4 linked regions of the Caenorhabditis elegans genome follow. The protein of the gene in region 4 purifies or fractionates together with the protein of the main gene of each other region. This does not show direct contact. Each region holds a gene or a part of one and is shown on either strand. Other genes may lie near its edges.

The links.
Region 1: the proteins of ddo-2 (region 4) and M142.5 fractionate together in Caenorhabditis elegans (co-fractionation; one large-scale study listed by BioGRID). This does not show direct contact.
Region 2: the proteins of ddo-2 (region 4) and C45B2.6 fractionate together in Caenorhabditis elegans (co-fractionation; one large-scale study listed by BioGRID). This does not show direct contact.
Region 3: the proteins of ddo-2 (region 4) and gba-4 fractionate together in Caenorhabditis elegans (co-fractionation; one large-scale study listed by BioGRID). This does not show direct contact.

The regions. Positions count from the first base shown.
Region 1 is NC_003281.10:10,929,275-10,933,298, forward strand, and holds M142.5 (AD domain-containing protein), read left to right. Parts: upstream 1-1,926; 5' UTR 1,927-1,934; coding exon 1,935-2,051; intron 2,052-2,100; coding exon 2,101-2,184; intron 2,185-2,242; coding exon 2,243-2,677; 3' UTR 2,678-3,487; downstream 3,488-4,024.
Region 2 is NC_003284.9:6,051,274-6,057,704, reverse strand, and holds C45B2.6 (phospholipase A2), read right to left. Parts: upstream 4,648-6,431; 5' UTR 4,606-4,647; coding exon 4,489-4,605; intron 4,254-4,488; coding exon 4,137-4,253; intron 4,094-4,136; coding exon 3,864-4,093; intron 3,809-3,863; coding exon 3,634-3,808; intron 3,299-3,633; coding exon 3,187-3,298; intron 3,143-3,186; coding exon 3,052-3,142; intron 3,004-3,051; coding exon 2,907-3,003; intron 2,863-2,906; coding exon 2,778-2,862; intron 2,735-2,777; coding exon 2,465-2,734; intron 2,416-2,464; coding exon 2,159-2,415; intron 2,083-2,158; coding exon 1,829-2,082; intron 1,781-1,828; coding exon 1,510-1,780; intron 959-1,509; coding exon 803-958; intron 754-802; coding exon 697-753; 3' UTR 532-696; downstream 1-531.
Region 3 is NC_003282.8:5,344,868-5,352,543, forward strand, and holds the start of gba-4 (Putative glucosylceramidase 4), read right to left. Parts: upstream 6,031-7,676; 5' UTR 5,972-6,030; coding exon 5,905-5,971; intron 4,555-5,904; exon of another isoform or gene 4,482-4,554; intron 4,063-4,481; exon of another isoform or gene 4,042-4,062; intron 3,855-4,041; exon of another isoform or gene 3,834-3,854; intron 3,695-3,833; exon of another isoform or gene 3,674-3,694; intron 3,429-3,673; exon of another isoform or gene 3,408-3,428; intron 2,954-3,407; exon of another isoform or gene 2,933-2,953; intron 2,821-2,932; coding exon 2,638-2,820; intron 2,350-2,637; exon of another isoform or gene 2,341-2,349; coding exon 2,191-2,340; intron 2,146-2,190; coding exon 1,839-2,145; intron 1,790-1,838; coding exon 1,549-1,789; intron 1,432-1,548; exon of another isoform or gene 1,408-1,431; intron 1,017-1,407; exon of another isoform or gene 996-1,016; intron 732-995; exon of another isoform or gene 707-731; intron 612-706; coding exon 335-611; intron 288-334; exon of another isoform or gene 267-287; intron 200-266; coding exon 1-199. Other genes in the region: Y4C6B.7 (Activin_recp domain-containing protein), read right to left, coding at 6,642-6,716, 6,932-7,037, 7,251-7,330, 7,378-7,429. UniProt on the Caenorhabditis elegans protein: Glucosylceramidase that catalyzes the hydrolysis of glucosylceramides into free ceramides and glucose. C.elegans contains specific sphingoid bases, which are unique or different in structure compared to the sphingoid bases found in other animals.
Region 4 is NC_003283.11:7,432,956-7,436,618, forward strand, and holds ddo-2 (D-aspartate oxidase 2), read right to left. Parts: upstream 2,078-3,663; 5' UTR 2,072-2,077; coding exon 1,890-2,071; exon of another isoform or gene 1,885-1,889; intron 1,648-1,884; coding exon 1,438-1,647; intron 1,393-1,437; coding exon 1,272-1,392; intron 1,168-1,271; coding exon 998-1,167; intron 954-997; coding exon 836-953; intron 779-835; coding exon 674-778; intron 625-673; coding exon 526-624; 3' UTR 512-525; downstream 1-511. Other genes in the region: F25E5.8 (S39A8 protein), read left to right, coding at 2,987-3,475. UniProt on the Caenorhabditis elegans protein: Selectively catalyzes the oxidative deamination of acidic amino acids. May play a role in the egg-laying events and early development of the worm, in addition to quality control of the germ cells.

The sequences.
Region 1 (4,024 bases), on a different chromosome or scaffold from region 4:
AGACGATGAAATAAAAGAGCAATTGACAGATGGTCGCTGCTGCCGGGCTCCCCAAGTTATCGAGATTTATCTAAATTTTTTGCAGAATTTTTTTAGGAAAGTGATGGTGGAGGGGAGAGTTTTTAGAAATTACATGAAAGTTGCCGAAGATTATAAATTCGTACACTTGTATACAGGCAATTTGAATTTCCCGCTAAAAATGTTCTCAAAAATATGAACTTCAGTCAAAAAAATTGCTGAAAATAGGAGCGTGTTTCAGCGCGCAATACGCAATTCAGGTGCACCTAAAACTGTTTTTCAAAATTGGAGAAAAACTTAGAAATACATTTAAAAAATTACAGTCAACACAATATTCTGGCATTTCGAAAAAAAAAGCTGCCAAATTTTCCAAATTCACAGGCAGGCAGGCAGGCGTGTTAACGCTTACATGGAAGCCCTACAAAAACAATGAATTTTCTTTGCGACTATAGTATACTGTAATTAATTAAATGCTCTTCTCTTAAAAAAACGAACTATAAGTAAGCTAAACTCTAATTGCTTTTAGTTATAAAACACTCCTTATTTCTCAATTTATGACTGAGACTCTCTCCTTCTTCTCCAATTTGAGGTACAAGACAAAATTGATGATGGCTCATAAAGTGTATGTATACTACTTCGATATGCTCCACCGATCTCCTCCTCATTTCATGATTAGTGTCTGTGTGTCTGTGTCCTTGGACACCATTTAGAGCAGCAGTAGGAGCAGCAGATGATGATAGATGACTACGCGGGAAACAACAGGCGTCTTAACTCTCAAGTACTGTGATTTGCATAAAAGTTCGCCGGGCAGCAGCAATGAATTATGTGTTGTGCGGGGGCAGAGGGTTTATGAAATTTATAAAACACATATGCTACATGTTGAGGGGGTTTTGCCACGTGGCAGGGCGGGAAACCAAGAAATTTGAACTTCTTCGACAAAAAATCTCCTCTTGAATCAAACCTGTTTTTTAATGCGAAAAAAAAACGAAAAAAAACCAGTCTTATTACAGGAACACGAAATTCTGAGAATGCGTATTGCACAAAATATCTCGTAGCGAAAACTACAGTAATTTCTTTAAATGACTACTGTAGAGCTTGTGTCGAATTACGGGCTCGATTTTTGAATAGTGACTTTAGAATTGTTTTCTCTTTTTTTTTGATTGATTTTATTATTTCATCTACATATAAATAAATTCTATTAATTCATTTCGAAAATGGAGACCTTAAATCGAAACTACAGTAGTCTTTAAATAATTACTGTAGTTTTTGCTGCGAGATATTTTGCGCGTCAAATGTTGCGCAATAATACGCATTCTCAGAATTTTGTGTTCCCGTAATAAGTATTTGAGTAAAATTAAATGAACATAAAATTTAAGAGCATGACATTTCATGAAAAAGGGTTTTTTTCACGAAAACTAATGGGGAAAACATTTTCAGAGTGAAACAAGCATAATTGATTGACTCCGAGCTCGGATCCGAGGTTATTGCATTTGCATTTCACACTTTTTCGATGGAAAATATTTTTTTTTCGAATATTGATGCAGATTTCCAGATTTTCGCTGAAAATTCATTTTCCATTTCGGTTTCAGGTCACTTTTTGCACGCGGTTCTTGAATTTTAACTCATTTTTCCACGAGAATTTCATTTTTTAAACAATAATCATTGATTTCTTGAACTTTTGCCGCGCGGCCAGCATCGCTTCGTATCGTGTAATTCCCCTCAAAAATCACGACAAACAAATGTTCAGTGTGGGTTCGCAACGGAGCGCACATGCTGACACCTCCCTTTTTCGTCTTTTTCCATCGGCGCCGCAGCATTTATCGACCCGTTTTTGTGCAGTTTCTTGTTTTTAATGCATTTTTTGTTTCAAAATTTTGAAAATAATTATTTTAAAACAATATAGTTGTCTTTGCAGCATGGCTTCGTGTAATCTGACAGCGTCAAACGTTGCGATCGGCGCCTGCGTCGAAATCGAGACGACGAATGGCTTGAGCGCCCGGGGAGTGGTAATTTCGTTCGACACGACTCGCAAGGTAAGAGAATTATCGATTTATTGAATTATTTATTAACCAAAAGCCAAAGTTTCAGGTTTTGGTTCTCGACACCAAGGAAATGGCGATTAACAAGCCAATGATTCGCATTTTCAACTCGGAGCACTTGAAAAATGTGAGTTTTTTCTGGCAAAAATCGGTACTTTGATATTAATAATTAATATTAATTTCAGATAAAAGTGTTAAGTGAAGCTCTCGAGGAAAGCGAGAAATTCGCGCGCGCCAAAACCGAGCAATTCGCCCAGAACAATCCGGTAAACGGTACACGGACCACCGAACGGCTCGACAAAACTCTCGGCGAGCTCACACCGAATCTAATGAAATCACCAGCAATATCGATTCGTGGACAACAAGCCTATCTGCAATTGAAGCGCACAATTCCGGATACATGTTGGTGTGGCGAGGATATCCGTGTGCTCGGGCTCGTGTTGGTTCACAAGCCCTACGAGGTGTCCGACGTGACAAAAGATGCAAAAGCGACAGGATTCGATGAATCGCGTGCCGAAAGTGCCGTACTTCAAGTTCAGAAAATTCTCTCAAAACCAATGACCGAGTATACGGCACGTGCTCCGCTTGATTTCACTATTGGAGCTATTGTGGCCAACTAGTTATCGATTTTTTCCCATTTTTGTATATTTTTTGTCCTAAGGCTGATGGGTTTAAAGAAAAGAGTGGGGAAAATCAAGAAAATCTCTATTTAAACCCATAAAAAGTAACATTTCGAGAATTTAAACTCGAAAATTAATTAATTCTGTGAAAATCGACAAAATTCCGTTTTGAATCGATTTTATTCAGGATTTTTTTAAAATTTAATCTTCAAACTTGAATTAACTGAATTTGAAGCCGATTTAAAAAAAAATCTCGAATTCTTCTATTGAAAATTTCAACGATTTTTAATAATTAAAATTCAAAAAAAAAATCTGATTAAAAAAAAACTTCGTGAAAATCTATTTAATTCTGAAAAATTCGATATTTTTCTTCATTTTTTCTGTGATTCCCGATAATTTCCAATCGTCTTCGAGAAAATGTAATTTTAATCGATTTAATCGACTTAAAAAATTTTCAAAACAAGAAAAAAATCAAGAAAACGTCGTTTTTCAACAAATTAGGTCGAAAATGTTGTATTTTCTCCGTTTTTAATTCAAAAAAAAAATCGATTTTCTTGCTATTTCCCCCTAAAAATCGATTTTTCGAATAAAAATTCATCAGCCGCGGGTCTCGTTTTTCAGGTATCTCTGTCCCTTTCAATATATATATATATATTTTCTCTTCCAAATCAACCAATTCTTCATTGCATTTGAACCTTTTCTCAGCATTTTTCTCCTTTTTTTTTTTTAGTTTTTTTAAATTTGAAATTGCCCCCCGTCCTCAATTATTTATTAAATTCCGCCCTAAAATATAATATATATTTAATTTTTTTCGTAGTTTTTTCTGTTTTTTCTGTGAAAGAATGGGTTAAATTACCATTTTATATCTTTTTTAAATCATTATTTTCTAAAATTGCTCGTTAAAAATTCTGAAATGGCAGTTTGAAAGCATTAAAAATCGATTTTTAAGCTAATTTTCGATTTCTGTGAATTTTTATTTCAAAAAAATCTGAATTTACGAATTTTTGAGCTATTTTTCACATTTTTGCATTCGAAAAAACACGAAAAATTGCCCAAATATTACAGGAATTCCAAAAAAAAAATTAAATAAAGAAATACCGGTTATTTGCTAAATTTAAATTTATTTTTAAAAATAAAAATTGATTTTTTTAAAGAAAAACTGGTTTAGAGAATCTGGTTTAGAGAGCTTTTTCAATAAAAAAATTATTATAAATTTTTTCAACAAAAAAAATTAATTTTAAAGCCGATTTGTTTGAAATTTCAATTTAAAAAAGTGATTTTTAAGCTATTTTTAACATTTTTGCAATCAAAATATCCTAAAAATCGCTGATTTTCACTAAAATACGG
Region 2 (6,431 bases), on a different chromosome or scaffold from region 4:
CATACAGTCAAGAAATCAGAGACCAAAAGAATACAACTTCAAATGTTTGAAAAATGAAAACATTATTCGTCCGAAAGTCACAAGTGGAGTGGCTGTGGAGCTATGATACGTGTGATAGTAAGTTGTAAAACGGAAGTTTACACATTCTTTATTGATATTCTGATAAAGTAATTTCGTTTTATCATTCTGATTCAAAAAATCAGACTGATCAAATTAAACCTACTAATCGGAAAAGTGTGGCTGCCGCTGCTGCGCACATGTACTTGGTAGTCTGGGCAACAATAAGGAAAACGGCAAAGTTGGTTTTATTGAACGAAAAAAAGTGCAGACTAGATACGTATGTATATGACAGATGCTATTTTTTCTTTGTATAAGATCAAAGGAGCAAATTCTCTTCACTGATTCTTTGGTTGAGAGAAAAACATTATTATAAAAAAAAGCTGAGTGGCACTGAACGAAAATACTTCTTGATGGATTTTTACCTCTAGTAAAAGACAGAGAAGATAAACAAAAATGGAAATACGACAAAGCTTGAAAAAATATTTACTCGGTTCAAATAGACTTCTATGTATTATGACGGAATGATTTTTCACAACTGAGACTTAGAATGTATACAAAATTATGAACTTATGTGTATTCTCACATATGAGAAAAGCAAAACTAATAGATTATTGAATATCTGCGAGAGGGCTCAAATTATTTGAGAATCGAAGAAAGCATGTACATCTCATTTCGCATTGCGACAGCTTCATACTGCAAAAAGTCAATACATAATGAATCAAATTGTCATCCATTAGGTTACCTTGACAGCGAGCATTGCATCCAGCAACGCACTATCATCCTTCTCGTCAATAGCAACTGGGAATTCAAGGTTTGGAGTGAAACGGAAGAAAGCCATTCCCATGGCTTCAGCCATCCAACGAGCCCGTTCGACGGTTACTCCATCAGCTGCTGTGAGCTGAAAGTGTGGAAAAATGAAAGGTGACAATATAATTAGATGTTTTCCCCGAAAAGGTTGTTAATCCATTCTAGAAAGAAAAAATATTGGAAATAGAAAACAAAATTAACAAAAAATTAAGAAATAACAGTTCCGGTTTATCGAGTGTAAGTCATATACACTCATGTTTTGAACGAAGCTTTAGATTTACGAAGAAAACTTGTCAAATTAGTCCATGTAACTATTTTAGCACCGAAATCACACTTCAAACTAGAATTTGAAACAACCATTTTTGGTTCAAACTAATAAGTCAAAACTCTTTTCAGGATGCGTTTTCAATATGAGAATAAATTGAGATGTTTTCAAGAAACATTCACGTTCGTTGCTAATTATGAAAGGCACCGGTGATTAAAATTAACGTAGTTGGGCTTTTCTGCTATTGAGTTGCCTAATAGTGAGCACACAAACTTTTTGACAACTTTGATTGAATTACATTGACAGACTTATTGATCTGCGCAAAACTTCAAACTTTATTGGCCATTTTTATCTGAAAAGAATTGCTTGCAACTCACCTGCTCAATAAAGACGTCTTTTAAGTGAAGAATCTGGTTGAACGTGTTCACAATTCCACCCATTGTTGTTGGCTTCATCAAGTCAACATTCTCAATTTTCTTTTGCATCGACCCAGTTCCAATTGAAACCATGATCTTTGACACATTACGCTCGTTTCTCTCATATTCCAGGCGTTGACAATCAGTAAGAATGTCAACAGCTGGATTATTAGCGATTAGTCCTCCGTCCATAAACTTTCCATCAACAGGTGGGAAGAATGATGGCGCCGCTCTGAAAAATACGAATCAAAAAGTGCATTTCTGTCCAGCTGTGACTCACGAAGAAGCCCTAACAACTTTTGCAGCTGCCCAGACAGGCTTCATGCCAGCTTGATCAAATGACGGGTCTCTGATGTTATAACTGCGGAACATGTAGAGTAGCGGAGGGCTGATATCGACTCGAGCAACCGGGATACTGATGCGAATACCATTCTTCTCACCGAGTTGCTGGAGCGTATCTCTTCCAAATTCATTTAGAAGAGCATTTTCCAGACCTTCGCCAGAGTATGGTCTGGATCCAATGAAAATATCATCCTGAAAAAATAAGATATTGCAACTAGCACCTGATCTTCCATATCATAATCGCTTTTCTCAATGTTCATTTTCCTACTTTCATTCTGAAATATTGTCTGATGACATGGTCAATATTTCCGTACTTGACCAATCCAAGAGTGATCATTGATCCAGTTGATGTTCCACCGATATGATTGAACCAGCGCAAGAATTTATTTCCAACAACCTTTTCGATCTCCTTCAAAAGCTGAAGAGCCAGAATTCCTTTCATACCACCTCCGTCAATAGACAAAATGACTGAATCTTTCTTGGTCAATGGCGGGAAGTTTTGGCAACGACGATGAGAAGGGTTTTCTGAAAGACGCAGAATGTTATAAAGCGAATAGAAACATATCAAAGTTACCCAGATTGTATTTAATATTTTTCTCTTTTCCTTCTTCAAGTGCTTTGAAGTGTTTTTGCAGAACTTCTGCACATTTACGTCTGGAATTTAGTGCAGCTTTCAAAATTCGGTCGGTGGAATGTCCATCAAACGCCAGAAATGCTTTTACAATATCGACGTCATCTCTTTCAAGAGCATAATCCATTGGAGACATTCCTTTGTTATCAAGCATATTAACATTCGCGCCGTGCGACCAAAGAAGTATGATTGTGCTTAGGTTTCCATTTTTTGCTGAAAAAGTTACGAGTTGCCATTTAAATGTAGTTCAGTTTACCTATATAATGCATTGGTGTGAGTCCGTTCAAATCTTGAGCGTTTATCATTTCAGCTTTGGCAAAACTGAGCATCAACTTTTGGTGCTGGAAATTTGATTAATAAAAACAATATAGTCATTTCAACAAACATCTTTCACGAAATTGTCAAATGTGTGAAACACATTCTTCGAGTTCAAAAGTCTCCCCAAAAAGTCCGAGTCTTGCACGTAGAGAATTCTCAGCACTCTGAAAAACGGTACTAATAAGATAGATACAATCAATGTGGCAACTTACGATTCAAGATCTCTCAGTGAAAATGATGATTTGTTGAGAACATCTGCCGGTGACAATAAGCAATGTGGCAAGTTATTTTTGATTGAGTATTCTGAATATGTTGATAAAGAAAATGTTGTAATTTTTGGTATTCACCTAGAATTTTCTCAAAAGATCGCGGGTAATCGGGAGTTTCGGGCTTGGGATGAGTTTCTGCGGTTATGATCATTTTGTCGCATACTTCTCCGGTAACATGACTGTTGATGTACTGCAAAAATATATTGTTTTCCAAATTTGTTCTTACATTGAAGCATTTTTTTTTTCAAAATATAGAATCGGAAAAACTTGTATACAAATTGAAGCTGCAAAAATCATCCAGCAAAATGATCCGGAGCACAGTTTTCATCTGTACGGATTTTAATTTTTCAGTGAGTCCCACCCATATGCAAGCTTTTTTCGTCAGACTTAACCAATTTCTATAGTTTTCATTTATTGATATAACGCCTATTAATGTCTATTAAGGCATTTGTTTTGTAATTTTCAGCAAAATCCCCCCAAGACACATTTTTCCACCTCGTATCTTTTATTTTAATAAATATTCACCTTTACAATTTCTGGACGATGACGTGCAACTTGCAAAATTGTCTGACCATTATGATTCATTGTCAATGGATCGAAATATTTGTCCCAGACCATTTGAAGTAAACTAAGAGATGCAAATCGAGCGGCAACATGAACGGGAGTATCACCTCTTCTATTTAGTTTTGACATTGAGAAGCTGAAACGGTTCAGTTTTTGTTAACTCAATAAAACTTGATTTGACAGTAACCTACCCATCTCCTTCTTTCTTTTTCTCCTCCTTAACATAATTTGAAAATCCAGAAAAAATCGCAAAATATACTGCTGAGCACTCGGATTGTAATTCCTTTTCTCTCAGCATAACCGGTACCAAATCATTAATGACGTTGATAGGATTGTTCAGATGTGTGATGGATTCGTCAAATTCTTTCCACAAATATTCCAGATCGTCAATGTAAGATGCATTCTTATTGAAATAAACAACCTGGAAAGTTTCTACGTGTATTTTTAATGTTATTTCAGCTTACATAGTTGTTTGGTGTGTAGACAAGTGCATATCCATCACCATATGTAGCTTGTGAAAAGTTCGTAGAAAGCTTTGAGTTGATAGAAAATTTCAAGGTTTTATCCACAGGTCCCGGCCACTGAAAATTGTGCAAATAAATAGGTAAAGGTTTTTAATAATTTAAAAAACCATAATCTGGGAGCACATTTTTGACACATTAAAAAAACATCGTTTTCCTCATCGTTGTGTGGTAGTTTTTTAAACAAAAATTTATAAAAAACTATAGAAAAAATATTTTTTAAATTTATTTTTAGAAAGTGCATGCTCAAGTTTTTTTTTCAATTTTTCATAAACTCAAAATGTTCAAAACTCACCATCGATTGTGCCTGTGGATTGCTGGCTTGAGACGTTGAACCAGCTGCTTTATGTTGAGCATCCGCGTATTCTTTGATTTTATCCTCCACGTTTTGTCGGACTGTGTTCATCGCCATCTGGCCGACGTCACTTTTGGCAAGTTTCATGAAAAAATCCATCTGAAATAACTGTGTTCATAGAAATATGATGTGAAACATGGAACAAACTGGAAATGGAATATAACAACAACAATTAGCATAGGTGTCGTCAAATGTGGTGTCAGGTCCGCATGTACACTTTTGCGGACTTGAGTGCACTATACCACTTCAGATGAGAGGTTTCCGTTTCCTTTTGGTTTTTCTCTAAACAATACAAAAAACGTGTTGAATTTCTAGTAAGAATTCGTTTTTTTTTCTTTTAAACTATTTGTGAATAATTAATGCGTTCTCTGCGGACATTGTTTTCCCGCCCTCACCCTTTGCCCAGACAGTGCATGTGTTCTTATCGATTTGTACAGCTGTTACTTTTTTCGATTTGTTTTTTTTTCTAAATAGAAATGACTTTCAAGTTTTACTGTTGTATTTTGCAGCAAAACTTACAATAAAAAACTATTGACTAATACCCAAAAGTTTCCCACCCAATTCGATGCAATCCATTTAAAAGCCCCCACTTAAATGATAGAAAAGTTACCAGCATCTCGAACAAATCCGGTTTCCGATAGATTCGCTCGATCGTCCATTAACTCAATCCGTGCACTTTTCCCCCTCAGTTCATCCCCATGAACTTTGATCTAAAACTGTTGTTGGTTTGTTTTCAATTCAATTGCTTATTTGGAACCATTTTAAAACTGGGCAAAGAGTCCGTTTTTGCGATCAGAAGATTGTCCTCTTTTTATGGTTTTAGAACTCTCATTAAACGTCAACTTGTGACCTTTCGGAACGTAATTTCGAATGCATGTCTCCTAGTGTTTCCGTTTTTGTTCAATTGCCAAATATCCTTTGTGCCATCCTTTTTCTTTTTACCACTTTGATAGATAACAAATGAAAGACAAAGTTATAAAAGTTGAAAATAATATAATATTTCAAACCTAACAAGATTAATTGGTTAAAAATCTGTTACTTATTTTCGGAATATATCCGTTCCTTTCCTTCATCCACTTTATCAAAGGAATGTGTGTAATCTTTGAAAGTATGCTCCAAAACACTCATTACTCACACACTCTTGTCTCATAAACGTGGTCCCGTTGCTAGATGGTGCCGGCGATGATACAAGAGAGAGAAAGAGACTACAAACGGGAGTGCGTGTGAGACAGCCTAGCTAAATCTACCAATCCTACATTTGACCTTTGCCACGAACCAAGATGGCGTAAGTTGCAGAGGCCTGCACCGTCGATCGTCGAATGTTTACATAACCTATTCATAGAGTTGGTTTTAGATATTCGACTTTTTTATCCCTAGAAACATTTTTGTCGACGCATCATGTAAACTTTGTTTATTAAGTATTACCATATTTTCCCTTTCAGACATGCACCTCCCCCCCCCCCCCCCCCCATTTCTCTACTTTGGCGGCTTTTTTAAGTTTTATTTTTTGAAAAAGTAGAAATTGTTCCCCTCGATAGACTCAAAATGGCCTTAAAACCCAATTTATGAGGAATTTTTCAAAAAAATGTCTAAAAGTTTTACATTAGTCCCCTTTTTTGAAGCTAATTCTGCATGTTTTGGTAAATATTTTTCAGTTCAGTTGATAGAATACTAAATTTGGATAACTATCGATTAGCTATGTACTGAGAATGTACTGAAATATACAGAAAACTTTGGCATAAACAGCCTAAGTACTCAAGAAGTGGTGATAATTGAACGAAAACAATCTACATGCTTCTGCAATAGGTACAAGTTGGTAAGATTCGAACTCACTAATTTACTGTCTATTTCAACTTATCTTCAATTGCGCACTTTTTATGTTA
Region 3 (7,676 bases), on a different chromosome or scaffold from region 4:
CCATCTTGATTCAAAAATGAAAGACCCTCAACATCAACTGATTTCTCAATAATGTTTATTCCAACACGAATAGCTCCCGGTTTCACAAATTTACTGAATTGAGCCATTACATGCCAAATTGGTTGTTTGTAGTACTCTTGAGCAGTTGCATTCACGATTATTGTTGAATCGACAAAGTTTTTGGCAAGATTTGGTCCTCCTGGAAAATAAATATTAGAAAACTGTTTCAACCTAGTTATATCAAAGATTTAAAATTCTAAATCTGTTTCTTACTATGGTTTTTGATGTTTTTAAATTAAAAAATCGCAAGTGTTGCTACACTTCACAAACCAACCTTGTAAATCAAGAATATAATTCCAATCAACCCATCCTCCAACCCAATTTCCCATATCTTTAATCAAATCATTTGCATATTGTTCAGCTCTAGACCATGATCCCAATTTTGGTCCATCTGCTGGGAAGTATCCAGCACATGCTTCAGTTGCCAAAAGGAAATAGTCTGGGAACTTCTCGTGAGTTTCAGTGAGTACGGTTGCTGGGTCAATGAAGTCTTCATACCAATGAATTGCAATTCCGTGGACGTATTGAGCAGCAGTTGGATCCGTTAAAATCTAAAATTTTATTTTAAAAGAGTGGGGACGTCGGAATGGGATATGATTTTTAATCAAGGGTTAAAAATTCAAATAGGTAAATTCTGCGGATAACTCTTCCCAAGGCCAAAGAAAGATTGATGGCAATAATAATTTTCTTATATTTATTTTGAATGTAAAACAGCACAAAGTTTGATTATTTTATGTTTTTCCCTACTGTTGCATAACTGTTTCAACAAAACGACAACTCACCACATTTGGCCAATTTGGCAAAATAATTTCCTGATTATCATTCATCATAATCTTCAAATTCTAACAATTAGTCAATAAATACTTCATTACACTTTGTTTCATAATTTACCAAAGACTACGGAAAGCTCAAAAATACCTCAATTTTGATTCCCAAAAACAGTACTTTTGTTTCGACTGTTTTGTTTATAATTTCTATATATATATTTATTTTGAATGTGAAACAGTACAATTTTTGAATATCTGATATGTTTCAATGTTTCAACAAATCCATTTTAGCATTACGTTTCTTATCAGTTTTGCACATTTTGTCGTTCGATTTTAATTTTTTCTAAAACAATTTACACAACTGTTGAACTATTCGGTCAATTCAGTAATAATTGTAGGTGAAAGCGAGTTTTAAAATTAAAATAACCGTTCTAGTGTCTTGATTCGAAAAAAATTCGAAAATACTTAATTACAATGGAGTCTTAATAGTGTTAAAAAACGGTAAGTACCTAATAGAAAACAAAAAAATAAACAAAGGAAAGAGCTATAAAAGTTTTGAAAATTTTCAATAAATAAAAGAGGTTTTGTTTCTCGTATTGGATTACTGTTTTGTTTATAATTTTAATATATTTATTTTGAATGTGAAACAGTATCTAATTAATTTTTAGTCATTCAATCATTTCTACCTATTACTCAATGTTTTATCCCACCAATAACTTACTACATTTGGCCAGTGTGGCAAATTAATTCTCTGATCATCATTAATCATAATCTTCAAATTCTTAGTCACTGGTGATGAAGCAAGTGCTGGTCCCAAAAGTTTCTTTATAAAATTTCGTTCCATTGATGCATCGAAAAAGAGTGTTTGCCATTTCCAAAGTGGATCAATTCCAGTTGTTGGCTCGTTTTGTGGTGTCAAAGACCAAAAGTCAATACCTTGAGCGTGATAGGCTTCGAAGAATCTTTCATTTTATAATTTTATTTTTTATTTCTTTGAAAATAAGAACTTACTTTACAAAGTACTGTGCCCATGTCTGATAGTATTTTCCATTCTGATCTCCCAATAGCTCTCCGGCACCAACCATTCTTCCAGAAGTTTTCATCCATCCTGGGGAGCTCCATGGAGTTGCAAATAGCTTTAATTTCCCTCCAGAAGCTGTCATTGCCTTCTTGATAAATGGAATTTTATACTGGAGATCTTCCACTGTTAAATTGAAATTTTTGAGATCAAAATCAAATTTAACGTCGTCATAACTGTACTCGTGAGTTGAAAAGTCAGTTGAAGCCATTGGAACTCGTCCAAAAACATACCCGAGACCTAAATTATTTATTTTTCAAGCTTAATCTTTTGAAAATAACTTACCATCATCGGAAAAGTATTGCTGAATAATTTGATCTTGCATTGTCTGTGGCAGCATCTTCATATTAATTCCAGCAGCATCAGTGAATGCAGCTCCAAATCCCATTACCGGTTGAAAACTTTGAGTTGTGTTCACATATACTTTTGTTTTGGCTACAAAAACGATGTATCATATCAACAATTGTTACAAAATAATTGTGAAACAGTAGAATAATTTTTTGCCAACTTCAAAATAAAAAAATATCATTCTCTAAATTCTAATATTATAAAGGTTTTTGTGTTAGTTGAGCGGTGCCTGCCTCTCTATCTAAGAGCCTGCCTACCGCCTATTTTGCATCAGTTTCGAACCAGAAGTTACTGATAAGCTTCCGGTGTATTCTGGAGGCAGGCAGACAGGAATGCAGGCAAGAATTCTGTGCCTTCATGGAACTTCCTATACAATTAACGTACCTGTAGAAGAAGTTGTATGCTTCAATTCACTTCTGTTCATTCTTTTTCCATTTCTTGATGTTGTATAGACAACTGCTTTCCCAGAAGTAACAGTTCCAAGTGGTTCAATTGTATCACAATACGTGGCATTGCAACGACAAACTATTCCATACTCTTTCTTCACTTCGGAGCAAGGAAGGGACTCTGGAAATTGGCTTCAGTTGTGTTTAGTTAGTTGGAATGGTTTTGGAAATTGTGCAGGACTACGTGTTTAGAAAATGTCTAAAGCTATTTCCAGTTCTGTAAATTGTGGTTATGAAAATTTTTACCATACGAAATACATATTTCAAATTTTACATTTCATAAATAAATTTGTTGAAACGGAATTTTTTAAAACTGTTTTATCCATGTTTTGCCTGCACATTGCAAGCAATGAATACAATACATTAATTACCGTATTTCTTCTATTAGTCTTGCATATGCAATTATGAAAAAGCTTTTTTTAAAGCATTTTTTCTAAAAAAGTTTCTAAAATAATTTTTTTACAGTCTGCTGCCCATTTAGATTAAAGGATACGAAAATTAATTTTGAAGAAAAATAGTTACGATTAGAAAAATATTAAATTTTGCATTTAGCAGATTGAAACTGAGTTATTTTCCTAAAAAAAATTATAACTGTTATCTGTTATCTATTAATTAAGGTTTGTTAATTGTAAACTCTGATAATTCAAATGTTTGACAATTTGAAAAAATCTGATACATATGTGTATAAGCGTAATGAAATCATTGCTCAAATATTGAAAAAAGATACTATTATCAATTCAATACCAATCCAAAACTCATATTATAACACAGAAACAGTAATTTTTTATTGGGATAACAACAAAAAGTTATGAATTTTTTCTTTTTTTACTTTTTTTTACCTCGGAGCAGTAGAAACTTTTCATGTTGGCAATTATGTTAAGATTGATGTCTACAATGATTTTTGAAATGACAAATTTTTTTTTAAATACCGTTTCACATAATCTTTAGAAGTCTTCAAAAAATATTGTTATCGTTGAATCCAATTTAGATGTAGCAAAACTGACGAATCCGAACTAAGAATTAGGGTCTTAATTTAATCGATTTCTGAGTGCAAAAGTCCAGATTTGTCCGTTTTAGTCACATTTGGTTCGCATTTATTGAAATTTTATAAACGCATTTGAGGACAGTTATATCTAATACATTTTCTTGTTCGCAACAGAATCATAAAAGTGTGGGATTTTAACAGATCATGTTGGAACAGAGTTTTTTTTGTGAAAATAAATATTAAAAAGTTGTAGCTTCAAATGCATTTTTCATGCTCGATATTTGTTTTAATTTGTATTTTTAATTTGTAAAACTTCTGTATCAACTTTCCACAATTTCCACATTTTGTTTAAAAAAAGATTTGTTCGAATTGCACGAATTAAGTAATACAAATACTAACTCAAATATTATACCTCGGAAACGGCAATATTTTTCAATGGGAATTTTTAAATTTTTTTAAATAGAAGTTATTAAATGATTATTGAGAATTCAGTTCCATTGAATTCAGTTCCAGTATTACTGTTTCTCAGTCATGATATGACAATTTGTCATATCATAACTGACTAGGGAGTGCTTTCACTATACGGTGCGATCGAGTAAAAGTAAACGTGTTATGCGATAGCTGGCATCTTAGGCTTTCAGAATCTGTAATTTGTTTCGGCGGAAGACCTCTGTGAGTCTGGAAATTTTCATCTGAAAATGTAGTACTGAAATCAGTTCATTTCCTATGGTTAACAGTGGATTTTGTCTCTGGCGCCAACAGAAGTCTCACCACAATGGTGGAAGGGCGAAATCATCGCTTCGGTGGTCGAGTGGTGAACGCGTTCGCCTCTTGAGCAGAAGTTTGTGGGTTCGGTTCCCACACATGGTTTAAATTTTGGCCTTTTTTATACAAAATTTTTAGAACGGGAAACAAATGTTTAAAACAGTTTTTTGAGGTTTTTACATTACTTTTTTGCTTTTTGATTGAACCACAATTACCCTGGAAACTTTTCAGAAATTTTTATTTTTTTCGAAAATTGCCACTTTTTTCTCCCATGAGAAAATTGGTTCCAAAAATTTTGTTTGAAATTTTTTCAAAAATGTATGAAATATTGTAGAGTGTCACGAATAACTTATTTTTCATTGTTTTCAATGACCGAATCACTGATTCTGATGCCGTATCAAGACGTTTTACCAAATCGATATTGGCAAAACATCTTGTTTTTGAGGCTCCATATCTCTGCAGAAAAAAATCGCACTAAAAGTGATCAACTAGAAACTTGTTAAACACAATGTGATCTAAAACTTTTCAGTTGAACACTTTTTTGTAAAAAATTTGGTTGCCAGGTTGGAACCAATTGATTTGAGCGTCATTATTTTTGAATATTCTAAATAGTTAAAGGTCTATATCTTGGGAACCAAATTTTTTACAAAAAAGTGTTCAACTGAAAAGTTTTAGATCACATTGTGTTTAACAAGTTTCTAGTTGATCACTTTTTAGTGCGATTTTTTCTGCAGAGATATGGAGCCTCAAAAACAAGATGTTTTGCCAATATCGATTTGGTAAAACGTCTTGATACGGCATCAGAATCAGTGATTCGGTCATTGAAAACAATGAAAAATAAGTTATTCGTGACACTCTACAATATTTCATACATTTTTGAAAAAATTTCAAACAAAATTTTTGGAACCAATTTTCTCATGGGAGAAAAAAGTGGCAATTTTCGAAAAAAATAAAAATTTCTGAAAAGTTTCCAGGGTAATTGTGGTTCAATCAAAAAGCAAAAAAGTAATGTAAAAACCTCAAAAAACTGTTTTAAACATTTGTTTCCCGTTCTAAAAATTTTGTATAAAAGAACCCAAAATTTAAACCATGTGTGGGAACCGAACCGACAAACTTCTGCTCAAGAGGCGAACGCGTTCACCACTCGACCACCGAAGCGATGATTTCGCCCTTCCACCATTGTGGTGAGACTTCTGTTGGCGCCAGAGACAAAATCCACTGTTAACCATAGGAAATGAACTGATTTCAGTACTACATTTTCAGATGAAAATTTCCAGACTCACAGAGGTCTTCCGCCGAAACAAATTACAGATTCTGAAAGCCTAAGATGCCAGCTATCGCATAACACGTTTACTTTTACTCGATCGCACCGTATAGTGAAAGCACTCCCTAGTGAGAAACAGTAATATTTTTTTAGAACTTTTCTAAACACTTCCAGGCACTTCTACTACTCACTTGCATCGCTTGAAAATCCATAAAACGCCAGAAATATTAGCAAAGAAACGGATATATTCAAAATCATGATAGCCTAGTCTAGTGTATTCCGTTAAAACCGGACACTTTCCAAGACTACTAATGAATAAATGATAAGAACAATATTTGAAGACACTGACCACGTTTTTATAAAGACTAATCAGTTGGAATATTCTGATCAAAAAATAATTGAAACTGATAAGAAATTATGGAAAAAAGAAGGGAAAACACATAAATTATTGGTTTCAGGCTGCTAACTATGCAGGACATATATAGATAATGACGGGGGCAATGGACAAATCATGGTATGATAAAGTTCGTGGTATGAGCGTGAGTGAGCTACATGTTGTCACCTATAGTGATCTGAAAACAATAAAGAAATTGGAACTTTAACATATTATTAGCAGGTTCAAAAAATTTTACCGTTTCAGTGTTTAAATTTAATTACGTGGGAAAAATTAATGTAATAACACTCTCATGGTATGCTTTTTACTGTCGTTTCATAAAAAAAAAACTTGCACAATTTAATGAGATTTCAATTATAGAAGAAGTACGAGTTGGAACGAACCGTTTTGATGCTTCTGTAAATTTTATTATTTTTTGAAAACTTTGTTAAAAGGCTTTTTTTTTATTTTGAACATTTATTTCATGCAAAATGAACTAATCAGTTAGGGAAAATTTTAAACCATTAGAAAAATAATAAATTTTTTATTAAGAAATCAAGGAAGCTCGACAAAACTGCTCTTCCTGGTTGGAGCGACAGTAGTTGGAATTTGAACGATGTCTTCACTTTTCTGAAAGTTTAAATTTTGCTGTAATTTTAGTGTTATTTAAATAATTTGAAAACTAAAATTTCAACTGAACCATAATAGTTCAGCATTTTGGTTCAAATCAGCAAGCAATTGTTTTAGTCACTTGAAAAAATTACTGTTTCACAAGTTTTACTTGATTTTCAAATTTCATTAGAAAATTGATCTCATCCTATAAAGCAATTTCAATGCACACGAACATTCTTACGGGTTGCTGCAGTTGGCATGATGACGTCACCGAGTTTTGGAGCACTTGGAACAGCTTTCGATTTTGAGCTAGTTTCTCCGGCTTTGAACTCGGTTCCGCTGAAAAAAATTGTTTTAAAAATAGCCAATATATAGATGAAGTCTGCTTTAAGATTTTTCGATTCAACTTTTTTTCTAAAAATGTGTAATGAATCTTTATATATTTTTTTCTTTTTTTCTTTGGAATCTATTTAAAAATTCTTGTAAGTATTTCGTACCTAAAATTTTCGTATTTCCTATTTCAAAAAAGTTTCACAAAAAAAAGTAACTTACTCTCCCTTCCACTCGTTACACTCATCAAACTGGCAGCAACAAAAAGTGGAATCTTTGGTTTGGAAATGGCATCCGGTCATCTAAAATTGATATAAATTGTCTGATGCTCAGAAAAAAATGAACCAACCGGACATTTCTCCTCCATACTGTGCTCATCGCTCCACGAACTGCATTCACGTCTGCAAAATTATTATTATTCTTGGGCGTAATGTTAAGCATGTAATGTTAAACAATTAAATTGAATGAGTTTTAAAGAACATGTGAAACAGAAAAATTTTTATTATTTGAGTTAAAGGAAATCAAGAAAAATTTCATTGTTTCTGTTTTACTGTTTCTGATTAGAAATTAAGAATTCACTTTAATTTTGTTTTACTATTAATAAGCTTGGATCTCAGAGAGATTTTTTAAAAGTTACACACAAAAATG
Region 4 (3,663 bases):
TTTTCTCACACTTTTCGTGGAAATAGACTTCGGTTCGATTCTTATCATACTTGTCACCTATGCGCCTGTATACATGTCAACTTTATTTTGTTTCAACGCAATGTCCCACTTGATCAATTTCTCAATGTCCTCCAATTACAGAAGAACAGTGAAGGAGATGTGGTATTTTGGAAAAAGTAAAGTAGTTGTCACCCCGGTGAATTGAGTGTTCAATAATGAACGAGAAATTAAAAAAATTCAGGCGACTAGGAGCAATATCGCATAAAAATGTTAACTATGTGATGTCTATTGTACCTCCTGAGACTTTTCTAATCGGAGAATTGCAAATCGATGTTTAATTTTTCAACATAAAGTTTTTAGATATTTCCATCATTGAATGGAAACAAAAATCATAATCAGATTGCATGCTGTTGTATCTACTAATTGAAACGCATATAAAAATTTAGTTGTTTTTTTAATTATTCTTATGACCCGTCGAGTCTATTGAAATATAACCTTAATTTACTGAAACCCTTGAACAAATATTTATAATCCTAGTGCAGTCTTAACAAGTTTAGTTGCTTCAATTGCTGTTCCCCAACCCAACGTGAATCCGTTGCTCCCGTGACCATAGTGATGCACAACCTTAAATCAACATTTTGAACACATAAAAAAAGATAATTGTGATACCTACCATATAATCTTTTGAGTTTCCAACAGATGTCCTCTTCTGCGCTTCAATTCTGACATGCTTACGTCCCGGGCGAAGTGCTGACCATTCTTTGATAATCTTTGGCTCCTAAATCATAAATCAACTTTTTCAATCAACTTAAATTTAAAAAAAACTAATTCTCACTCTCATTCCAGGATGTAAAGCAATGTATCGTTTCAAAATATCATTTCTATCCTCGTCGGTGATCTCCAAATCCCATCGATTGTCCTGCTTGGTGGACCCAACCACCACGCTGTGCTCTCTAAAGATTTGGCACATAATATTAATTTATCGGCTTCTACTCACTTTGGAATTGTGAAAGTAGTAAAGTCTCGATAATTGAAGTGCTTGTGCCATGGTGCATCAACTTCCAAAATGACTCCTCTAATGGGGTAGCAAGTATCGTCATCACCAGCCAACTTTCCACCGTACAAGCCTGCGCAGTTTACAATAACATCGTAACCAGCGTCGGCGACCTAGAATGAATTTGTTAGACATTACTCTCCAGGTTATGATGGGTATGGGTTCAGAAATAAGGGAGGGGTGATCTTGTTTTTTGACTTCTCGGTCGCCAACTTACTGCGTCCAAACTCGTCACTTCTTGTTGCTTGAACTCGATTTTTTGCTCAAGCAGCAAATTCTTCAAATAAGGCACGTACTTGTTACCTTCTGATGCGTAGGCGGTGTAGTGAATGCAGTGCCTGAAAGCCACAGTATAGCAAAAGATGTGACGCTAAGAAGCCCACTTTGATGGTTCGGGAAAAATGTCCAGCCGTTCTCTATCATCCAAGAATCTAAAGTTGTACACAATATCGCCATAGGCTCTTTGTTGTTGCTTCAATGACTCCAAGTTGTCGGATTGAATATGTCCAGAAACTAATTTCACGCCGGTTTCGGATCCTTTTGTAGTGCGATAGAGATGTGAGAACCAGGCGAAAGAAGCACGTCCGTATTCACTAAAAATATTACGTTAAAAAAAATATTTTGGTAATAAAATTATTTATTCTAAAGCTATTAATAGCATTTTTGGCCCGTGGCAACACTTTTCTAGGATTTAATATTTTTTTTGTAATTAGTTTTTAATTTGAAAAAAATAGGACTATAAAAAATAGGATAATCAAGCAAGTTTGGTTATCTGTTTGTTATGTTATTCCAATTTTTTCAGAATTTTTTTTATTTATTTATCAAAGAACCTCACGTATTCTCCTCATAATCGATTCTAAATAATCCTGCTGGTCCTGCACTGCACGATTTTTTAAATGGTTTATCGTGGAGCACAGTTATTTTCGCATTTGGTATAGCTTTTGATATTTGAAGTGCTGAAGTACATCCAATGACTCCTTCGCCGATAATTGCAATCTTCGGAATTATGTTTGCCATTTTATTCTGAATTAATTAAGAAATGAAGAAGTCTTTGTTTAGAAATTGCGAAAATATAATAGGAAAATGCGTAGATTTTTGATCATGATGAGAAATAAAGTTCACGTTTGTTAAAATGAACTCACTTTTATACACTTATCTGCTCATCAAAGAACGCACATTCCGACCTCGTGGCTGCTCTCGATAATAGCTGAGAGAGTGGTGAAATGCGAGACGCAGCCAGTTAGAAGGGTTGAAAAATGAAGAGACTATGGCTGAACGGGAGTGAATAAGGCTCCAAAAAACAAAATTCACAGTTCATTTTTTGGATAAGATTCTTGAAACGATGGGAGAAAAATTTTGATGATGATAAAGTTGAAAAAAACCGGGATCTTAAAGGACAGAATTGCATTCAGAATTTTCATTCAGGGTCTTCGTTTTTCTTTCAACTTGTCAATATTTTTTTATTCAAAATGTATATATTTTCTATGCAAAAAAAAAACAACTACTGGGATTCTTAAATGCCTAACAACCTAATTGTAAGGTTAATTTCAGGTAATTTAATGAAAACATGAAAAAATGTACTCTGCCTTAAACAAATATCAGTGATCAACGAATTAGTCAAAACAAGTCCCAAATTATAATTTGAATTAGCACGTACTCAAAACACTCCGGTCAGATTGAAACGTTCAATGAACGAAAGTACCCATACTATATATCTTCTCAAACCCTCCTCCCGCCATCGAAACCAAAGAAGCAAGGACCCCAAATGGGCGGGATTTGGTGACACAAAGAACGATAAGACGGTATTCTATATAACATAGTCATGCGCTAGCGGTTTTGAACGGTATTCCACACTTCTTCGATTTTTTTTCTATTTTTTTAAATGTTTTATTTTTTTTTTTTTATTTATATGATTTTCAGAATCATTCTCAAATGAAAGTCCCTCACGTCATAGCTGAGCTGGTTTCGGAGTTTTCTGGATTTCAGCACACTCCAGATTTTAAAGCGTCAAGGTCAACTGGAAACTTTGAGGAAGGATCTGAAGAAGGTACATCTGGAAGCCATAAACCAGAAGAACATCACCATAAGGAACATCATGGACATTCGTTGTACTTTGGAAAACATTCTGGTAAAAAGCATTTGCCACCGGTTGTTGAAAACGACGGCGACACACATTCCAATCACAGTGATGTGTCCGGGTCGGGATCCTCATTAAAAGAAAAGAAGCATCACGGATTGACTGCTCATTTCAAAGATCTATTTCATATTGGGCACCACCATCATCATCACGGAGAGCATCCACACTCGAAGCAAAATTCTGGAGCTTCTACGCCGGCAAGGAAAAACTCGACTGGAAGTGAATGTCCGTGCTCGAAGCAAGAACAATGTCACAAGCATTCGATTAATATCACTGTTGGAGCGGTAAGTTATCTTTTTCTTTTTAAACTTTTTTTCAACTTTTAGCCACTAATTGAAACATATGCGCCGAGAGTCAAATGCAAAAAGGTTGTGTAGCCTAGAAAAAAAATGTTGTGTAGCCTTAATTTCTCGAAAGTTAAACGCTTTAAAAATCTGAAACTTTTCTGACACGTTAAAACTTTCACCTTATG